Caenorhabditis elegans: one gene and its partner. The protein of the gene in region 1 interacts with the protein of each later gene in a pairwise test. Each region holds a gene or a part of one and is shown in the gene's direction. Other genes may lie near its edges.

Evidence for each region.
Region 2: the proteins of ZC443.4 (region 1) and nhr-34 interact in a two-hybrid assay, tested with the Caenorhabditis elegans proteins (one large-scale study listed by BioGRID).

Annotation. Positions count from the first base shown.
Region 1 is NC_003283.11:12,818,072-12,822,001, reverse strand, and holds the start of ZC443.4 (DUF659 domain-containing protein), read left to right. Parts: upstream 1-2,115; 5' UTR 2,116-2,956; coding exon 2,957-3,298; intron 3,299-3,749; coding exon 3,750-3,860; intron 3,861-3,907; coding exon 3,908-3,930. Other genes in the region: ugt-18 (UDP-glucuronosyltransferase), read right to left, coding at 80-216, 261-753, 802-891, 940-982, 1,279-1,461, 1,523-1,669.
Region 2 is NC_003282.8:9,670,531-9,674,460, reverse strand, and holds the start of nhr-34 (Nuclear hormone receptor family member nhr-34), read left to right. Parts: upstream 1-1,790; 5' UTR 1,791-1,799; coding exon 1,800-1,894; intron 1,895-3,930. UniProt on the Caenorhabditis elegans protein: Orphan nuclear receptor.

The DNA of each region.
Region 1 (3,930 bases):
TTTGTGACGTCAAAATTTTAAAACTACGCATTTTTATGTATCTTAAAAAATAAATTTGTAAAATACGTTTAATAATTACCTAACAAATCGTTTTGTGGCATCCACGTGGTAAGTTTCACATTTGGCAGATGACTAGTCAAAGTTGCATTGGCTTCTTCATATTTCCAGATGAAAGTAATCTCAGGCATATTTCCGAACACATATAAAAATGATTTTCTGAAAGAGTTGAATTTTTGATATTGATGTTTGCATTTTCTTACTTGAACTCCTCAGGCATTTCCGATGAAAATGCATTTGATCCGAATGAAATCAAAACATTCTGCTTGCGTATATTAAGTATATTATTCCATTCATCACTTAATTTTGTTTTAGCCTCGTTTGTGTTAACCTGCATTCCGCCAACAAAAACAGTTTTAGGCAAAGCTGGAGACGGATAATCAATGTATTGATTTGAATTTATCAAATTAAATGCTACTCCTGTGAAAAGATCTTCCCAAGTTTCAGTTCCATTATAATATGGCTTAATCATCTCCAGCTCTTTTTCATATCTTGATCCATACAGATATTTCGTAAAAAGCATTGTGATCATGTTTTTGACACGTGCTACAAACGACATTTTGTCATCATGTGGAGAGAAAAGTCCAGGGTAGTAACTGATCGCAGCTGGCTCTCCATGAGCATACTTTACAGCGTCCTTAAATAAATTCGACTCTGCATTTATGACATTCTTGATTCCAATGTGGTCGAATAAAGCTGAAAAAGTGTATTAAATTGAAATATATACATACGACAAAAACTGACCAAATGGGCATGCAAAAAGGGATTCCGTTATTGCAAGATCGAAATGCTCATTTCTCAGACGATCGATAATATCTTTTTGTTGGAAAATATCTGTAAGCGAGAAAATAGACTAAGAATTCATTCAGAAAAGGTACTCACATTCACACTGGTAGCCTATAGCCAGGTTCATTGAGCCGACAATCTGGAATTTCGAAATGTTTTCAGATTATTTTTTCACATTAACTGGCATTATTTTCTCATTTGAGAGAAACTTTTCAAATTCAAACACGTTTAGGTTCAACAATTCGCTACCACATCGCAATCAACTTTTAAGAACTGCCACCCACTTTTCAGACTTTACAAAAAAAAATTCTGTTTGACCAACTTTAACCACTAAAGTTTTTCGCTTTTAAGTCTTCTAAAAAAACGAAAAACGGCAACCTCGGTGCGTACTAAGGCCTTGCTTCAAATACTTCATCGAAAGCAAAAAATACTAACCGTTACCAGAGACATCATTTCAGGATCCATTCTCCATACTCTTGCCCTTCCCATATGCTCAATCCCTTCTTCTTCGAAAAGTTTTCCAGCTCTCTCGTCTCTTCCTATTCTCACTACATCTTTCACTTTTTTTGAGCCAACAAAATCTTTCTTAGTTATCAGATACTCTGGGATCAGCATAGTCTGAAAATTTTCTAAAGTGTTTTTAAAGTTAATTAATGTATAACTTTTATATAAATCTTACCACATTGTGTCCTGCATCAATGAGAATATCAGATATTTTTCCAAGAAAATTAGAATGACTTGCACCATAAGCAGGATTGAAAACCAAAACTTTATACGTTAATGTAGAATGTATTAATACAAAGAATAAAATAAGAGCGAATTTCATGATCGGAGTAATCTTAACTTGAATGATTGGTTTGTAAGATAAGAAATGGAAATGTTGACTATTTGGTCGAAATTATGTGCATTTGGCAACAATTTATGACAAATTTCTATTGTGATAGACCTGCTCGTGATAGTGATAATTCAGCGTCCGGGAAAACCTCCGGCCTCTTGTTCCGCATATGCTTTCTCCTCATTTCCCACAGATTTTTACTGATGATGGGAAAGGTTTCAAATTTAAAATGAATGTCAGAAGACGAACTTTGGTTCGATTTCGAATAGTTAACAGTTAGCATATCTAACAGAATTATTAGATATGTTCACATGTAAGTTTGCGAAATATTTCAAAATATTTCAAGGTCTTCTTGAGCGGAGTGAGACTGTAGGTGTGTATCAAACTGGCCTATCTTAAAAATAGACATCTGGGAAACAAACTAACAAAAATATCACTTTTCTGCTGTACCAGTCATAAATTAACATCCATTTAACTTTAGAAGGAACAATTTGTTGTATATGTAGTAACTGAAAAGTATTTTGTCACATTTTATTATTTCATGTTTTTCATGTTTAGCCAAGTTGCAGATCGTTTTCCAAAAAAAAAAGAGTCAAAGAGTATTCCGCCTTGTAACGATTTTGTTGAAAAATGAAATTTTTCCCACCCTAACGAAATAATTTTCAAACGTTTCTTTAAAATTTTAACGAATTTCGTTTAAAGTTCGAGTCACTTCTCTTCACATGTTCCCAAACACTGCCATTTTTCAAAAAACGTTTTCCACACACGTTTGCCTTCAAAAAAAAAGAGGCCAGCCATCCATTTCTGTTTTTTTTCTTGCCAACCAGTCATCTAGTCCCGTGATTCTCTCACACCGACTAGTAGTCCGTCAAGTCCTTCATTGTGCAGCACACACACGGCGCCACGAAACGACGTCTTCTTCTGCTCTGTCAGTCTCGTCTCTGCCTGGGACATCTGACCAATAAATATTCAGAGAAACGACGGCGTAGAGGCCGCTTCGCATAGCCGCTCGCCAGTCGGCTCTTGCTTCGTCCTCCTCTTCTCCCTATATTTTGCCAGTTGTTTGTCGTCGAACACCCCTCCTCGGCCGCTCAAACACACACACGTCGCCATCGCTCGCGTCGCGGTCTCTCGGTAGTCTCGTGTGTTCTTTATTTCTCACATCGACCCTCCTGCCCATAATTAGGAAGGTCGTTGTTTCCGACATCTGTCGCCTTTGCAAACTTCTTGATTCTATTTTCCTTATCTTTTGCCCCAATTCTCACTTAATTCCCTAAAATGCCAGTGGTGAACACTGCAAACTTTGTGGACCGACTACGTGACATCACCAAGAGGATCGATATCCGTCCGAGTCTTCAGAATGTCTCAAAGCGCTGGCACAACGTTTACGATGCTCTAGCAGTCGGCTCTCCTCAACAAGTTCAGGAATTCTACAAGTATATCAAAGTATACAAACAATGTCCCGCCAACGATCTACTCTTCATGAATATGACAGTACAACTGGCTCGTGCTGCAATGTTTCCAACTAATAGCATGTTTAAGCAAATGCTCAAATTTGAGAAGCATATGGATGGACTCATTTTAGCGGAAGGAATCCATGGAGTTTATGGATCTCGCGGGGTGAGTGAATTAACTTTGATTGAATATATTATGAACCCACTGCAAATTGAGTTCTAGTGCTGAACGGGAAGTTTATGTAGATTTGCTAAATTTAATTATGGTAGTTGAAATCGGAAATGGTTGAATATTAACACGAAGAAATCAGTCGCGTATGAAGAAATGGGATGCAAGACTGATTGAAAAAATACGGTAGCGATATATTTTGAAACCCGATTTTGCTAACAGGATTCCTCTGTATTATTCAAAAATTCTATCAAAAACAATAAAAGGTCCCTTATCTAAAAGGTCCCTAAGCACAAAAATGTTAGTCTTCAAATTTTTTTCTTATCGGAAATTGTTTGAAATACATTATTATGAAATTTGTTGACTACACTCGGAACTAGAGCACGAAAATATAATATAATTGCCGTGCTAGATAGAGTTCCGCTCTGAAAGTTTCACTGGTTTTCAGATTGAAATTCTCTGTGGTCACAATGATCATTTGCTCCGAAGATACAGAAGATTTAAGCGACATTCTGAAATCAAGCGAGCTGATAAAGAGATAAAAATTGCTAGAAAAACGGTAAATTTTAACATGTTAACTTGAACTTGATTAATTTAATATTTCAGGCAAAACAAATGGCAGCTTTGAG
Region 2 (3,930 bases), on another chromosome or scaffold:
AGTGAGGTTTGCGTGTGCTTTGGCAGTAAACTAAGAGTATAGATGCCTATATAGGCACAGGCAGGCGTAGGTTGCAATGGCGAAGGTAGAAAATTTGAGAAATTAGGGCACAAGAGCAATACACCAATACAAAAAGGTCAGACAAATTACCTTCTTATTTATGTGATGAATTCTTTGGAAAGTCATATTGTAATCTGACTCTCGCATCTAGTCGCCATACCTTTTGTCTAATATTCGAAACCTTATCTACGTCGTTTTAACCACCCTCAATGCGTGTGTGTGTGCAAAAAGTGTGTTGTGTTTCGGTGGTGCAGAGATCACTGCTCCATCTTTTGATCTTTTTTCCGCATTTTCTGTTTTTCGTATATATTCAAAAGAAAACACTTTGTCCTCCTCCTTTTGCTTTGCGCGCACGCTTGCCAAACTCTAGTCTTCTTGACCACCACATCAAATCAGAACTTGTTGGTTTCAGATGAAAAAGGGGCGAGAAATATGAGAAGATCAAATGATCGTCTCTACTCTACTTGAATAATCTCAATATGCTGCTACGTGCTTGAAGTACGTAAAAAGAGCAAAAGATAATCTGTGCAATAACAGCTGATTATCGGGAGAGGAGGGCAGAGAGCTATTCTGATTGTAGGAATATGTCAGAAGCTGGTCTACGCCAACTGATCTTTCGAATTCCCCTGCCAGAGATTTTGACTAAAGTGAAGTCAGGTCAGAAGAGAAAATGTGTATTTTGTTTTGTTCTTCTGATTCTTTTTGGATCAATGAACATTTTTGAAATTGATATTTAATATAGTTTGTGTGGTATAAATGCTACGTTTATTCCCATGTTTTTTTCATTTCTGGGCAAGTTTTAGTAATTTATTTTATAGAATTCTCTTTGCAACTGATTACGAATAACTACATTTTGAAAATTGTACTTTTTATAACATTCAATTTTTAAAACTACTACTTTGTACTGTCAGCAATCAAAACTTCTTAATGAAAGTTTGCCGTACTCTTACTCTAATCAAGCGATCCGGTTTCGCATGACCTTCTCACCTTTTCAACTGCTTCACGTGACATCAATTATGAATAATGCAAACTTTCACTTAATTTTTTAAAATTTAACCGACATACATACCTGTTATAAATACAGAGCCGACGGGACGCGACTGAAAATGAATAAAATCGTGCTCCATACAATTTATGTTCTGACTAGTAAGCTTTTTCATTTTCATCCGTTCAGCCAATTTTCAAAATTTTGTACGCCTGACATGTTTTTATGCATACCGAATAAGAAATTCAAAAGGTTACATTCCACAATTTACAATTTGCAGTTAAAGCCTTTTTTAATTTTATAATTGTAAGCATTTTTTCAGTTCTGTAATCAAGAGTCCTACAAAAAAATTGGTGCACTCAACACTGTGCCCTGCTTTTCCCAAAAAATTATTTTTTTGTTGAAAAATCGTAGTTGAGAATTCTTGAACATAGGTTCGGCAAAACTGAAAAAAACACCTAGAGCTCACAGTGATTATTACAAAATTTAGAAAATATTGCTGAATCTAATTGTAAGTTTTGACGACTTTGTCACATTTTTTCTTGCCGTATTATCTGTAACTTGATCAAACAGTTGTTCCAGTTTTCCTAATAGTTTTCATGAAAAATAACGTATTTTGTACTCTTTTTCCTATCCCACATTCGATAATATTATCCACCATCATCATCAGAATTTCATCAATTTCTCCCATTTTTCTCTGTCATACAGGGTCATCGAAAGACCACGTGATGTAACGCTTTTGCAGGCACCTAGCATGACGGATTACTGTATTTTCAATATATCTTGGATGTCTGATCGTTTTGGGTGTGAAACTGGGAATGAAGACGTGCAAGAATGTATTGATAAAAGGTGGGAGAATGAAGAAAAAAGGAATAGATCAAAGAAAAAGGAAGAAGATAATATGATAGAAATTATGAAAAATGAAGATACGGTTAGGAAGACAACTAAACATGATAATCACTTATTTTGAGATCTTTTCGGAGAAAAATGATAACAAGAAAAAAAAAGAGATGATCGTGATTGTTTTATTTTTTAAATAAGAACTAATCTATTTGAGGGGTTTTCAATTAAAGACTTTTAACAGTAACTTATAAAAACACAGTATTGAAAGTTCGATTGTCGGCAGTTCATTCAAAATTGACAGATTTTAGAAGCTGTCTGCCTGCTTTGCAAGTTCACTCTTATCAGTATTAAACTGATATTACCAGCAATATATCCGCTAATTGATTAAATGAATTTTTAGTAAAAATAATTTGAGTAGACTGTAGTATATTCTGATTTGCAAGTTTTATTTGATCAAGAGTTTAAAAAGAGTCTAGTGAAGTCACATTGCATCAATTTGACAGGCCTTCTTTGTTTTGCATTATATCAATAGATTTTCGGATCTGCCAATGTTTTCAGGTGTGTCATATATGTTTTTTTGTTTGCTTTGTAAATATAAAAAAAACCTTTTTTCAAGAAAAAGTGACATGTTTTCCAGATACTGCTGCAAATTTTAACTTTGAAATAGTGTATTTTTTATTTTTCAGCGCAGAAACACGTGTAAATTCGGCGGTAAGACTGACTTGACGGCATGAACGTTCATTTGTTTATTTTCTGTAGAAAAACAGTTTTGACGAACCACTAAAACTAGATGCTTCCACGATTTCTAGAAGTTAAGCTGGAATTTCATACGCTGAATAATCGTGAACTCATGGCACAGGATTAAAAAATGCTTCCAAAAAGTTCAAGTTGTATTTTGGAATTAGTTCAAAAATTTTGGAAATCATAGACATCGGACTAAATTAAATAAGTTCGATTTTTGTCCATCTATCCATTTGCCTGTAACTTCCATAAATCACAACCAGTCCTTTGCCTCTACCAATTGATCGGATGGCGTCAATCGACTATCGATTCTTCGCCCGATGATATCATTCTTGTCCATTCCTGACCCTATCGACACGATTTTCTCATTTTATTCTGAATTCGGTGCAAACTGTACCTTTCAACATCGTCACTCTTTTTCCAGTAAATAACGGATTAGTCGGAGGGTTTTTGAATGTCAATTCCCACTTCAATCCTATAAAAATGTAAAACATTCTTCTCTGGTTGCTAACTATAAGACCAAAGATCCGAGCGTCTTGTTGACCATCGGGTCAGTAGTGCCACGTGGTGTCTCTCTACTCAATTCACACTCAATTTGATCTTTCGATCCACTCCTTTCTCTGCGTATCCACGTTGATACTTCTCTCGCCGCCCTTTGTACAAACAAACCGTCGGCAGAATTGAGAGGGAAAAGGACGAAAAGTTTCCATTTTTCAGTTGAAACGCTAGGGAAAAAGAGTAAAAGAGATGATGAAAGACAGTGAGTTTTACACTGATTATGTGTATTTTATGTTGGTCTTCAACTCTTTTTTTGCCTCGCTTTCAATCTCTCTCACTCACTGTTTCAATATCGTTTTTGACTATATTTGGTTGCAGGGAACTGTTTCTTGTTTCAATTGTCAGACTACACTTTTTTCACTGTAACAAGGAGCTTTTGTGATACGGAATAGCCATAGTCTTCAGAAATTGATTTTGAGAAATTTTTTCTTTCGTTTTTAGTGGAAATTGTATTTTTGATTTAATTTGTACTATTAAAAATGTGATAAAATTTTACTCAAACTTTTAAAATCTCGAAAATTCCCTTAATTCTATCCCTAAAATTTGAACTATTCTGTTAGTGTAGTAGACCAAGAAATGGTTTTTTCCAATGATTGTTTGATTTTCTTTTAATTTTTAAAAATATTTTTAGATTTAATATGCAACTTTAACCTTCTCAAAATAATCAGAATTACAGTTTTTTCACGCCTTCCAATGTTTTTTTTTCAATTTTGACACATTTAAATGTAATTATTTATACTGCA